Anolis sagrei: one gene and its partner. The protein of the gene in region 1 interacts with the protein of each later gene in a pairwise test. Links are inferred from orthologs where the notes say so. Each region holds a gene or a part of one and is shown on either strand. Other genes may lie near its edges.

Region 1 (7,274 bases):
GCATCCTCCAAGGTAAAGTCAATGGCTTTTTGTTTCATTTTGGATTGTCCCATTACAAGATTGTCATGGTAAACGACATTCAAAATGGGTTTACTGTGCCTCCTTCTGTGCATTACTACCTCGTATGAGCAATGATACCACTTCCATTGTCTCTGAGACATCCTCCACCAATGCCATACCCCACTCCTTCTGATAACAATTAACTCTCTCGCACATTTAGCCTGACTGCTTAGCAAAAGCCTATCTGACACAGGAGACCCTACTAGCAGCACTGCTGTCATCGGCATAGCTTCTTGCTTTACAGGAGCATGCAATCCTCCCACAACCAAAGACAAATAGTGCCATGGTGAGGAAATCAGTATATATGCCCTAATCCTAACCTGTAGTTAAACATTACCTCCATCCAACCAATTCAAGCTGCTTTGGAAACCACTTGAAGTTATACAATAATGTTCCCTGGTCCAGTTATCTGAATGCCTAGCCAGATCTGAAGAAGTTGTGTGTGAGAGGATAAAGGATATGTGAAGGACAGCAGTCTAGTGATATATGATCAAACACAATGAGCTCTGCATAAATCAGATGTTCTCATCTACTTTGTCATCTGACTATTCTTTTACATTTTTACACATAGTTTTTGGATAGCAAGCAACATGCAAAACACACTTCTTTCTACAAGACATGCTAATGATAAATCATGCATATGCATTTGTATATGAAAAATGTGCTGCTTCTCTCTTCTTTTATTTGCATCTCTTTCATAATATCAATCACAATATTTTTCACATACATATATGAAATTATTTCTATAATTTCCCAAGGCAACACAGCCTTCCTGTCCAGCCAGTTTCCATTAAGACAAAGCACTCTGGTGTCAGGAGAATACCACTCTTTGGGAAAAGGAAAATCTAATAAGAGGATTCTTATTTAGCCAACACTACCAGATAGCATGCCTCTGCATATGAGTTTCTGGGGCACTTCAGCTGATTGGGTGCTATGTGATTGGAATCCTGGACTAAATAGACTGATTTGACCTTTAGTGACCGAAGCATAAGCACTTAAAAGATTTTGATGTCCCTACATAAATCTAATTCAAAATGTAAACAATGATAAACTGTAAACTAAAATTTTAAATTTAAATGAAATTAAATGAAACAAAACTTACAGTAAAATAATTATACATTTTGTATCCTTTCACTTTATATTTAAAAGCTTTTCTCCTACTTGTTATAATTGCAGTCTTTTTATTGTCGAGGCCCCTTTTGGTGGAATCTTGTTCAGCTGCATCATTTGCAGTTTTGCACTGTATGGTGACCCATGGTAAACCTGGCAATGCAAAGTTTGTATGGTATCCCCTTACCTTGATGCCTTGCTTCATTTGCTTAATGGTTAGCCCTAACATTACCTATGTTTGGAGCCGGTCTGGCATAGTAAAGTGAACTACAGGATTCTGAACACCAGGGTTCAAATGTCCACTCATCTTTGCAAACCCAGCATGTCACCTTAGGCAGGTCACATTCTCAGCCTCAGGTCCCTTCCACACAGCCCTATATCCCAGAATATCAAGGCAGAAAATCCCACAATATCTGCTTTGAACTGTGTTATCTGAGTCCACACTGCCACATATTCCAATTTAAAACAGAAAATATGGGATTTTATTCATCTGTGTGGAAGGGCCCCCACATTCTCTGCTTTGAACTGGGTTATCTGAGTCCATACTCAGAAAAGGTGGGATTTTCTGCCATGATACTCTGGGATACAGGGCTGTGTGGAAGGGCCCTAGGGGGCCCCTCAGTGACCTTGGGCAAGTCAAACTCTCTCAGAGCCCTTCCACACAGCCCTATATCCCAGAATATCAAGGCTGAAAATCCCAAAATATCTGCTTTGAACTGGGTTATCTGAATCCACACTGCCATATATTCCAGTTCAAAGCAGATAATGTGGGATATTTTTCAGCTGTGAGGAAGGGGCCCCAGCTTCGGCAGAAACCTCATCTGGGCAAATTTTCCCATGAAATCCCATAATCTCTGTTACTTGGGAGCGCACAACAATCAATGCTTACTAAGTCAGTGGTAGGGCCATAGCTCGGGGAGGGGGGGGGGGGGGGAGGGAGGGAGTTCAACCCTGCCTTGAAATGTGTCAGGTTAAAAAAGAAACCTGGTTTGTTCATAACTTGGTTAACCAGTTAAAATTCTTGAGTAAACCAGGTTTGGCGGGGGGGGGGGGGTTGTAGTTAAAACCCTTAACACACACACACACACACAGCCCTGTGTGTGTATGTATATATATTTGACAGTGTGAACTCAGATAATCCAGTTCAAAGCACATATTGTGAATTATCTTCCTTGATATTCTGGTTTATATGGCTGCATGGAAGGACCCTAAAACAACCAACCTCCATCTATTTATCTATCTGGTGAGGATGGGCCCTAGAATAACTAAACTCCCCCCTCCCCCCTTCTCTCTCTGGGGGATGGAGTTTAGTTGTTTTAGTGCCCTTCCACACAGCCCTATAACACAGAATATCAAGGCAGATAATCCACACTGATTTGAACTGGATTACCTGAGTCCACACTGCCAGTTCAATGTGGATTTTATGCAGCTGTGTGGAAGGGGCCTAAGTTTATTTATTTATTTACAGTATTTATATCCCGCCCTTCTCACCCTGCAGGGGACACAGAGCAGATTACAATGTACATATACATGGCAAACATTCAAGGTCATAGAAACACAACATATATAGACAGACACACAGGGGCTATTTAACATTCCAGCTCTTTTATGAGGGTATTCTGGCCACCAGGGAAGCTGTCACTTCACTGTCCTTTTGTAACACTGATGAAGTACTTCCTTGTTGTATTGTCCAAGGCTTTCATGGCTGGAATCACTGGGTTGTTGTAGGTGTTTCGGGCTATATGGCCATGGTCTAGAGGCATTCTCTCCTGACGTTTCGCCTGAATCTATGGCAAGCATCCTCAGTGGTAGTGAGGTCTGTTGGAACTAGGAAAAAGGGTTTCTATATTTGTGGAATGACCAGGGTGGGGCAAAGGACTCTTGTCTGCTGGAGCTAGGTGTGAATGTTTCAAAGAGTCCTTTGTCCCACCCTGGTCATTCCACAAATATAGAAACCCTTTTTCCTAGTTCCAACAGACCTCACTATCTCTGAGGATGCGTGCCAAAGATGCAGGCGAAACAACAGGAGAGAATGCCTCTAGACCAGGGGTCCTCAAACTTTTTAAACAAAGGGCCAGGTCACAGTCTTTCAAACTGTTGGAGGGCCGGATCATAATTTGAAAAAAAACAAACAAACACACACACACACACACATGAATGAATTCATTTATTTTTAAACACTGCACATATCTTATTGGTTGTGTAAAAAACACTTTAAACAATACAATAATTAACATGAATAACAATTTTAACAAATATGAAGTTATTAGTACTTCAATGGGAAGTGTGGACCTGCTTTTGCTGATGAGCTAGGGTTGTTGTGTGCTTTCAAGTCATTTCAGACTTAGGTTGACCCTGTGCGAGGGCTGAGTAAATGACCTTGGAGGGCTGCACCCGGCCCCCGGGCCTTAGTTTGAGGACCCCTGCTCTAGACCATGGCCATATAGCCCGAAAAAACCTACAACAACCCAATACTTCCTCATTCTTTGCATGCTTGCTAGAGATTTTTATGGTGTCCTAAATTAGCCTCCCCCGCATAAGCGGTACCTAAATATCCTACTTGACAGATACAACTGTCTTTTGGGCTGCAAAGGTCGACAGCAAGCTACACAAATTGGTCGGAAGCTCACTCTGACCTGGGCTGGCTTTTGGTCAGTAGTGATTTTAATGAAGCTGACGCCCAGCCAGCTGCGCCAAAGTCCCAGTTGCTAGGAATGAAGGTGGGAATATTATAAAGTCATTTTTGTATTGGATTAGTTTATTATGTTTGTTTGTTTGTTTACTTTGGTGTCTACGTTTATTTTATGTTTGTGTGAAAAAATAATAAAGGGGGGGGGGTGATAATCCCCAAGGTCTGCAAACCCTGAGTAGGGGAAGCGTAGCCTCCTCAGACTCCCACCCTGGAGTTGGCATCCGCCCTTGGATCCGAACAGGAACAGCACGTCTAGGGGCCGCGTTGTGCTTCCAGCCGGGCTCCATCCCTGACATCATCTCCTTGACGCCGGAATGCCTCCTTCCGCGCTGCCGGACTAATCGCATTTCTGGCTCTGCTTTGTCTGCCTCCCAGGCGCTCTCTCTCTCTCTTCTCTCTCTCTCCTTTGGGTCGCCTGTTGACGCCTATTTCCTCGCTGGCCTTCCTTCCCCCGTCCCTCCTGGCTGGCTTTTTTCACCTAATCTCCACCCCCAGATCCGCCCTTCCCGTAAACCACCCCTCTCTTCCTTTTGCTTTCCTCTTGAGCCAAACAGAGGGAAGTGGAAAGCAACGAAGCGGAGCAGCAATTCGAACAAGGTAATAACTACAAACTGATGGGGTGCCCACTCTGGGGAAGGCTTTCCATAGTTGTTGTTTCCAAAATAAGGCTGAGACCCTACAACGGGGGTTTCTTGGCAATGTTTGTCTACAGGGGGAATGCTGAAAGAATTGTCGAAGGTCACTCGGAGGGTTTGATGGCCGAGGTGTCTCTAGAGCCAAAAACACGCTTTTCCCCCACTCCTCCCTTACGAGTTCAGCCAGCTAATGGATGCATCTACACTTCTGAATTAATGCAGTTTGACACCACCTGAATTGCCATGGCTGAGTGCTATAGAATCTTGGGGTTTACATGATGTGGTCATTCAGGAGATACATCAGATATGTCTGATCTTTATCGAATGCTGTGCTCCTGGGACTTGTTTTGCAAAGTCTTTTGGCCTCCTCTAGTAGAATCATAGAGTTGGAAGAGACCTCCTGGGCCATCCAGTCCAACCCCATTCTGCCAAGAAGCAGGGAAATTTCATTCAAAGCACTCCCGACACATGGCCCATCCAGCCTCTGTTTAAAAGCTTCCAAAGCAGGAGCCTCCACCACACTCCAGGGCAGAGAGTTCCACTGCTGAACAGCTCTCACAGTCAGGAAGTTCTTCCTAATGTCTAAGTGGAATCTCCTTTCCTGTAGTTTGAAGCCATTGTTCCGCATCCTAGTCTCCAGGGAAGCAGAAAACATGCTTGCTCCATCCTCCCTACGACTTCCTCACATCATCAGTGCCATGCAACCTTTGACCCTCCAGATGTTGTTGACCCTCCTCTAAGCCTTCTCTTCTGCAGGCTAAACATGCCCAGCTCTTTAAGCCGCTCCTCATAGGGCTTGTTCTCCAGACCCTTGATCGTTTTAGACACCCTCCTCTGGACACATTTCAGCTTGTCAATAGCTCTCTTCAATTGTAGTGCCTCACCAAACTGCAAATCACAGGATTCCATAGCATTGGGCCAGGGTATCGAACTGTATTCAATCTACAGTGTAATTGTTGCACCTTGTGGTCATAGATGCCTACGTAGCACAATATTCTCAGAGGGAGAAAGGTGTTTGTGTGGAAAGTAAACAGAAACCGAACTCTCTGAGTGCTTTCGATTTCTCAACCCCCCCCCCCCTGTTTCCCCCTCCCTGCTTTAGTCTAGATTTTAAAAACAAGAGGAGCTTCCGCCTTCATTCACGACCAGGTGAGACCCTTTCCCATTTTCCCTCTGTCCATCCGGTGGGCTACTTCCTAACCTGGGCTTTCCACCTCTCCATTTAGTTAGAATGCATCTACCTTGTTGAATGGAAGCGGCTCAATTGCTCTGGCTCAAGGCAATCTATGGGCGTTGTCGCTTTGCAAGGCATGCACTGCACTGTAAGATGAATGCACCACTTTAAGTGCCATAATGTGAGGGAGTCTTGGGAGTTGTAGTTTGGTGAAGCACCAGCCCTCTTTAACAGAGAAACTTACAGAACTTGTAAAACTGAGACTCCCCAGATATCACCATCGAGCCAGGTCACCTAAAGTGGTGTCAAACTGCATTGATTCTACAGTATAGATCAGTGCCATGCAACCTTTGACCCTCCAGCTGTTGTTGACATGCTGAAAGGTGTCCAGAGGAGCGTGACTAAAATGATTCAAGAGTCTTTTCACTTCTCCATTTACTTAGAAGGAACCTATCTTGTTGAATGGCTCAATTGCTCTAGCTCAAGGCTATGTATGGGCATTGTAACTTTGCAAGGCATGCACTGTAGGATGAATGCACCACTTTAACTGTCACGATGTGAGGGAATCTTGAGAGTTGTAGTTTGGTGAGGCACCAGCCCTCGAGAAAATTACAGAGCTTGTGAAACTACCAATCCCTGGGTGTCATATCGTTGAACCAGAGCAGCTAAAGTGTCAAACTACAATATCAATCAGTGCCATCCAACTTTTGGCCCTCCAGGTGTTGTTGACAAGCTGAAAGGTGTCCAGATGAGGGCAACTAAAATAATCAAGGGTCTGGAGAACAAGCCCTATGAGGAACGGCTTAAAGAGCTGGGCATGTTTAGCCGTCAGAACATAAGGCAGAGAGGAGACATTATGGCCATGTATAAATATGTGAAGGAAGTCATAGGGAGAAGGAAACAAGCTTGTTTTCTGCTGCTCTGGAGACTAAGGCACCGAACAATGGCTCCAAAGTACAAGAAAGGAGATTCCACCTGAACATTAAGAACTTCCTGACTGTGAGAGCTGTTCAGCAGTGGAACTCTCAGCCCTGAAGTGTGGTGGAGGCTCCTTTTCTGGAGGCTTTTAAACAGAGGCTGGATGGCTGTCAGGGGTGCTTTGAATGCGATTTTCCTGCTTCTTGGCAGAATGGGGTTGGACTGAATGGCCCATGAGGTCTCTTCCAACTATGATTTTTTTTACCATTATATGGGCCCAGGCTGGCTCACCTAATGGTAAAAAATTCTGCGAGCAGAGGTCCAAAACACCCGGAAGATCAAAGATTGGACTCCACTCATGTAGATTAATAATTCCCAAACACCTCCAGGTGTTTTTGGACTTAGAACTCCAAGACGCTTGTGAGCCAGTGATCAGGGATTCTGGAAGCTGAAGTCCAAAAATACCTAGAAGACCAAAGTTTGTGAAATACTAGTGTAGAAGCTCCCAAGGTCTTAATACTTTTTGGCCAGAGAGTGTTTGTTGGTGCCTCACCCAAATACAGCTTACAGACTGTCATAGCATTGAGCCTTGGCAGCTAAAATGATGTCATTGCTTTAATACAGCAGTGTAGAATCATAGAGTTGGAAGAGACCTCATGAGCCATCCTGTCCAACCCCCTGTCAA
Region 2 (7,532 bases), on another chromosome or scaffold:
AGCCAGTAGAGCTGTTTTAATAGGGACAGAGTATCTCCCTATAACTAGCCCTAGTTAGTAATCTGGTTGCCCATCTTTGCACTGACTGCAGCTCTTCTGAACCGTCTTCAAAGACAGCCCCACATAGAGTGCATTGCAGTAGCCCATTCTGGATGTAACTAAGGCGTGGACCACCGTAGCCAAGTCTGGCTTTTCAAAGTAAAGACGACTACAGAAGGAATGAAGCATTAGATTAGAATCCTCTGGGACAGGGATATCAAACTCATTTTCACTGAGGGCAACATCAGCCTTATATTTGGGGCATTGACTCCATGGAGGGAAAATCCATGGATACAGAAGGCCAACTATAATTTATTTTACATAGTGGTTGGTGCTCTTGACTTTTTACCCAATTTGGGCCCCCAGGTGTTATTGATCCACAACTCCCATAACTTTTTATTATCTGCCATGCATACTGGGGATAATGGGAATTGCAACCCATTCGCATTTGAGATTCTGAGGTTGGGAAAACATTAAAGGTTTTAAAGTCAGGCCTCATATCCACAAGTCTTATATCTAAATTCGAACCATGCTGTCCTGGTTAAACAGAACAAACTGCAGCCTTCCAGGTGTTGCTATATCACAACTCCCATCAGTTCTAGTCATGATATCTAACGAGGAGAAATACATCTTGGGAATTAAGATCATCTGTGGAGGCCATGCTTTTAGTCCCACCTGCTTTGCAAACATGGCTGGTGGGGACGAGAGACAGAGCCTTCTCAGTGGTGGCCCCTTGTCTATGGAACTCCCTCCTGAGGGATATTAGATCAGCCCCCTCCCTCCTAGCCTTCAGAAGGAGAGTCAAGACCTGGATCTCGGAGCAGGCTTTTGAAAACTAATGCAGTACAATAACCTTAATGTGGAATAATGTGCAATTTGACTACGAAATGGCCTTAGACTCTGGATTATGGATGGTGTATTTTTAACACTGGCTGGAATGTATTTTATTATGTTCAATATGTTAGTTTTTATTCCAATTTATTTTAAGTCACTATTGTATGTTGTGAGGCATTATGTAAGTGCCAACTGTAAGCTGCCTGGAGTCCTCCTCGAGGTAGAGAAAGGCGGGATATACTGTATATACTCGAGTATAAATCTAGTTTTTCAGCCCCTTTTTTAGGCTGAAAAAGCTCCCCTCGGCTTATACTCGAGTCAAGGTTATTTATTCTTTTACTCTGTTATTAGTATTATTTTATTACATTTATTATTTCACTCTATTATTATTATATTTACATTATTTTGTTCTATTATTGTATTTATTATTTTGCTCTATTATTATTATTATTATTATTATTATTACATTTATTATTTTAATCTATTTATTATTATTATTATTATTACATTCACAGTATTTTACCCTATTATTATTATTACATTTATTATTTTAATCTTTTTATTATTATTATTTTTATTATTTTTATTATTACATTCACAGTATTTTACCCTATTATTATTACATTTATAGTATGTTGTGCTATTATTACTACATTTATTATTTTACTCTATTATTGTTTTATTGCATTTTCATTATTTTACTCTATTATTTTTATTATATTTATTATTTTAATAATAAGCACATTTACATTGAAGGAGGCTAGAATAATGGTTTAATAAGAGTTGGGCAGTCATATCTTAAATTACAGTTTTATGTAAATATTCAGAAACGTTTAGCCTATTGATGCCTCAATTAATGTAATTTTATTGGTATCTATTTTTATTTTGAAATTGACCCATAGTGGATGCATTTCCCACCCTCGGCTTATACTCGAGTCAATACGTTTTCCATGTTTTTTGTGATAAAATTAGGTGCCTCGGTTTATATTCGGGTCGGCTTATACTCGAGTATATACGGTAAATAAGGTAAATAAATAAATAGATAAATACAGGAGTTGTAGTCCAGCATTTGGAGAGCTGCACAGAATTACATAGTGGGCTGGATTCAGCCAGTGGGCCTTGAGTTTGATGCACGCAGTTTGAGAGAAGACGCCATTATGGCAATGGCCTTTAACCCATTGCCTTCCAGGTGTTTTGGACTCTAAATCCCATTTCCCTTAGACAATGTGGTGTCTACTGGCTCGGGATGATGGGAACTGAAATCCAGCAAATCTGTAATGTGCCTAGCGGGGTAAGAAGCTGTAGGGCAGACACACCCTGTCCTCTTGCTCATCTCTCCTCCAACCACTAACTGGCAGGGCTTTGAGGAATCCAGAAACACCCAATGCCCACTGTAACGCAACACATTTATTGTGTTTAATCCTTCAACAAACTGAGGAAACCAGCCTGGCCTGTATCGGGAAGTTATGATACAGAAAACCCTTGAGGTCCTATTACAGGGACACACCTACTTCCAGTAACTAGAATAACCCTCCCCATGGCTATGCGTTACTAGCAGCTCATGACTCTTCTGATCACGGAAATGATAGGAAATGAGCTTACCAGACCTAAATCCTGCTGAAAATGTAAACTTCAGGCTTAACTCCTGGACAAGCCTAGAGCAACTTGAGCTGGAACAGGGAGAAAGGTGGCAAATTCAGATTTCTATGCAATGAAACCAACAGGAAGAATCAGAGTCCACATTACTCAAGGAGTCAGATGGACTGCTTTATGGCAAAGAGAAGTTCTCCACCCATTTTCTGAGCAATCATTATAGCCCTGAGATCTCATACAGTCTTTAATCAAGCAACTTTCTAACTCTAGAGAGAAATAAATTACAAGGGAAGGAAGTGAGACCTGGAAAACAGTGGGAGACTCCCATTTCTCACTTGGAAGGTGCAAGAGAAGGAAGGAAGGAAGGAAGGAAGGAAGGAAGGAAGGAAGGAAGGAAGGAAGGAAGGAAGGAGGGAAGGAAGGAAACCTTACCGTGCAAGAGAGCTTGTTTTCTCTTTCTGCTATATCCTCTTGTGGGTTAGGCAAAAATCCCCCCTCCCTAAAGATTTATTTCCTGGTAGAGGAGGAGCAAACTCTTGTGGGGAAGAGAGCCTGTTAAAGGGCAAGCAGATTATGAAATATTCTCCTTTACACATGAGTCATTGGAAAACATAGGCAAATCATAATGGCAAAGCAGGCATAAGGGAATGTACCCAACAACTGAATGGCGAGGAGGGATACTTGCAATACATTTTGAAGTGCAGCCAACCCCTTTTCATTCAGGTCTGCATGAAGATGACTTGGCCGCAAAAGATGGCATGTGTATGTGTGTATGGGGCAATGGGGTCTCTATGCTGCATGATGAAGATGTTTGTGGTTTCGACATTGGACAACTTGGGAGAACACGCTGCTTGGCCCTTAAAACTCACTGAGTGATGGGGTGTGAAACTTATGGCGATCGTTCATGTGAAAGGGATCTAGGAGGGATCACAACCTCTGAGGATGCCTGTCATAGATGCAGGTGAAACGTCAGGAGAGAATGCTTCTGGAACATGGCCATCCATCCCGGGAAACTTCCAACAACCCTGTGATTCCGACCATGGAAGCCTTCACATGGAAGATACACGGATCTAGGAGTCTGAGTAGACCACGAGCTGAACCTGAGTCAACAGTGTGATACTGCAGCTAAAAAGGACTCTAAGATCCTTTTCACTCGTCCTGCTATCGAGCCAAGTATGGTCCCCCATTCTGTATCTTTGCATTTCATTTTTTCTGCCTAAGTGGCGTATCTTGCATTTGTGCCTGTTGAACTTCATTTTGTTAGTTTTGGCCCATCTCTCTAATCTGTTAAGATCAGACACCCCTATCATGTTGCGATTTCATATGGTCTCCAGTCTTGCCACATTGTTGCTGTTGTATGTCTTTGACACATTGTATGCCTGGTTATAGGGTCACCGTAAGTTGGAAACTTACAGAATCCAATGGGATTTTTGCCTGCATAAATAGGAGTCTGGTGTCTTGATCCAGGGAAGTCCTGCTACCCCTCTATTCTGCCTTGGTCAGACCACACCTGGAATCACACTGTGTCCAATTCTGGGCACCACAATTGAAGGAAGATGTTGACAAGCTGGAATGTGTCAAGAGGAGGGCGACTAAAATGATCAAGGGTCTGGAGAACAAGCCCTATGAGGCTTAAATAGCTGGGCATGTTTAGCCTGCAGAAAAAAAGGCTGAGATGAGACATAATGAGGGCCGTGTATAAATATGTGAGGGAAAGTCATAGTGAGGAGGGAGGAGGCTTTTTTTCTGCTGCCTTGGAGACTAAGACACAGAACAATGGCTTCAAACTACAGGAAAGGCGTTTCCACCGGAACATTAGGAAGAACTGTGAGAGCTATTCAGCAGTGGAACTCTCTGTCCCGGAGTGTGGTGGAAGCTCCTCCTTTGGAAGCTTTTAAATAGGCTGGATGGCCATCTGTCAGGGATGTTTTGAATGTGATTTTCCTGCTTCTTGGCGGGGGGCTGGACCGGATGGCCCATGAGGTGTCTTCCAACGCTTATAATTCTGATTCTTGGAGGGGGAGACACAAAGGGGGCAGTTCTATAGCTACCCCCCCCCCCAATCCCAAACAGGATCAACGACGTAATCTGCTGGAGTGCCAGGACAATCAATTGGCCTTCCCCACACTAGCAAATATATGAGACAATAACAAGACTTAAAAGTTTTACTATCACTTGTTTCAAATTAGAGTCGAGGATATCCGAGATCATTTTTGCGTCGAACTAGCAATTTGAATGGCAATATTTCTTTACCGTGATCCATGTAGAAAGTACTGCGAAGGGTGAGGCAATCCCTGATCAAACACTATAAAAACTAGTGTAAGTTCTGTTTACTTTCCTGTTTTCAAAGGCACTCAAGCTCATCTAGAGACAAGGATTTGGGCAGTATAACAACAAACGCTATGGGGCAGGGCTCCTGTGCCTTTAACAGCTTGATGAAAAGAGGGAATGTGGCAGGTGTACCTTTGTGTCATTTTGCTCCCATACAGAGAATTCGGGGTAGTTCTTAAAGACACAAACAAACATAAGCTCTATCCCAAATATAATCCACTTTCTTGCATGTTAATGTACTGTAAAGAATATGTAATATATGTGGCTTGGAGTGATTCTGGCCATGAAAGTCTTCTACCACACATATTTTATCATACATGGGCAAGGACACAAAGAACTAGAGTGGAAAGACAGCTTGCAGTATTGATATGTATTTAGGGGCAGTTGATACAGTGGGCGTATTTTTATTCCATAAAGCACAGATTTCCAAATATTCATATAGAAATGCTCCCTTGGTTTATGAAAGCTACCGCCTCACCATGCTTTCCCAAAGTGCTATGCTTATAATATAATGTAATGTAATATAATATAGTGTATATACATATATTTATAATATATTTGTAATATTATTAATATTACATGATATATAAATATGTAATTATACTATCATATTATTAGTATTATATTGCATTAAAATACGAATATTATTTATTTATTTATTTATTTATTTATTTACAGCTTTTATATTCCGCCCTTCTCACCCCGCAGGGGACTCAGGGCGGATTACAGTGTACACATATATGGCAAACATTCAATGCCAATTTTGACATACAACATATACAGACATAGACAGAGGCTATTTAACTTTTTCTGGCCGCCAGGGGAGCTGTCGCCTTTATCGTCCATCTGCGACGCTGATGAAGTACTTCCGCATTCCCCACATGCTTTTTGTTGGAGTGCTTGCTGAAGTCTTTTTTAATGGTCTCATAAATTAGTTAATTTAGCCTCCCCACACTTTAAGGTGGTACCTTATTTTCCTACTTGACAAATGCAACTGTCTTTCGGGTTGCAAAGGTCGACAACAGGCTACACAATGGTTGGAAACCCACTCCAACCTGGGCTAGCTTCGAACTCATGACCTTTGGTCAGAGTGATCTTAATGCAGCTGACACTCAGCCAGCTGCGCCACAATCCCAGTGCATTATATATATATATTTCTTGTAATATTAATAATATTACAATATAATGGTATAGTACTATAAAGTAATAATAATAATAATAATAATAATAATAATAATAAACTTTATTTGTACCCCGCCAACATCTCCCCAAAAGGGACTCGGAGCGGCTTACATGGGGCCAAGCCCGAACAAAAATTACAATATAACAATACAAATTACAATCAAATAAAAAACATAATAGTAAAATATAAAACATCATAATATTTAACATAATATTTAATACTGATATTGTACTATGCTAATAACATATTGTATGTATGTATATATATGTATATATCTTGCAAGCCGCTCTAAGTACCCTTCGAGGTGAGAAGGGCGGCATACAAATGTCCTAAATACATAAAGTCGGGTCAGCACTCAAATGAAAGCAAATCATTTCACGCGCCATTGAATTGCATGAAAACGTGAGGTCATACATCAACCAGCAAGTTGCCAACCTCTACCAGTACGCATGCGCTGACTTTCTCCCGCAGTCTCCCTGCTTGGAGCACACGCATGCGTAGAACAGTCCTTTTCCTGGATTCGGGCATCTTGCCGCGGATGCGCGCTGGGGACCCATGGGTCTTGGAACGGCCGACCATTTTGGCCGCGCATGCGCTCTTAATGTTATTTACAAGAACCTGCCCGGGCGCGCGACCCGTCGGTCAAGCAGCCCTTCTGCGCACGAGCGCATTGTTTTCCGAGCACCCGCCTCCGTCTACCAGTCCTGGCTTCCTTACATGGCGCATGCGCACTTCAAAAAAACCTCCCCACCGACCATAGCACCGCGCTTTTCAACCCCGCATGCGCGTTGAAAAAATTGACTTTCAAAAATTGCGGGTTTGAATACTTTTTAATTTCACCCAGCTATTTAAAAAAAGAATCTAAAATGGGGCCTTAATTCACAGAAGGACCAACTGAAGGGTAGCGTTGGTCACGCGAGAAGGCGGCCTTTTTGTTGTCGTAGTAGTGTCTCCTCTGGCGCTAAGCCGCCCGCCATTTTCTTTGCCTTCTTGCTCAGATCGGTTACGTCATCGCTGTCGTGCGCAAACCTGAAGTGTGGTGCAGTCCTGGGTGTTTTTCCTCAGAAGACCAAAGGGCAATGTTCCCTCTAAGGCACCCTCATAGTGACAAGCAAAATGGAGTCCCTTTGGTTCACTGTTTCTCTCACTGTAGCTACAATTACCCATTGAGGAAATCTTGTTGAACCTAGTGGAACCTTTCTCCCTCTGAATAAACTGAATAAAAAACTAAATCTGAAACGAACACACTAATCCAGGCATGGGTTGGGCCCTCCAGGTGTTTTGGACTTCAACTCCCACCATTCCTGACCTCAGGCCTTAACTCCCACCATTCCATGGGCAAACTTGGACCCTCTAGGTGTTTTGGACTTCAACTCCCACCATTCCTGACCTCAGGCTTTTTCCTTTTCCCCCCTCAGCCGCTTAAGCAGCTGAGGGGGGAAAAGGAAAAGGCCTGAGGTCAGGAATGGTGGGAGTTGAAGTCCAAAACACCTGGAGGGCCCAAGTTTGCCCATGCCTACACTAACCTAAATGTTTGCCCATGCAGAGGGGA

What was found.
Region 2: the proteins of phospholipid scramblase 2-like (region 1) and MVP interact in a two-hybrid assay, tested with the Homo sapiens proteins (2 studies listed by BioGRID and IntAct). The link is inferred for Anolis sagrei from reciprocal best matches to the Homo sapiens genes PLSCR1 and MVP.

Annotation. Positions count from the first base shown.
Region 1 is NC_090023.1:239,101,553-239,108,826, reverse strand, and holds the start of phospholipid scramblase 2-like, read left to right. Parts: upstream 1-4,272; 5' UTR 4,273-4,459; intron 4,460-7,274. UniProt on the Homo sapiens protein: Catalyzes calcium-induced ATP-independent rapid bidirectional and non-specific movement of phospholipids (lipid scrambling or lipid flip-flop) between the inner and outer leaflet of the plasma membrane resulting in collapse of the phospholipid asymmetry which leads to phosphatidylserine externalization on the cell surface.
Region 2 is NC_090026.1:17,350,264-17,357,795, reverse strand, and holds the start of MVP (major vault protein), read right to left. Parts: upstream 3,006-7,532; 5' UTR 2,899-3,005; intron 2,544-2,898; exon of another isoform or gene 2,476-2,543; intron 1-2,475. UniProt on the Homo sapiens protein: Required for normal vault structure. Vaults are multi-subunit structures that may act as scaffolds for proteins involved in signal transduction. Vaults may also play a role in nucleo-cytoplasmic transport.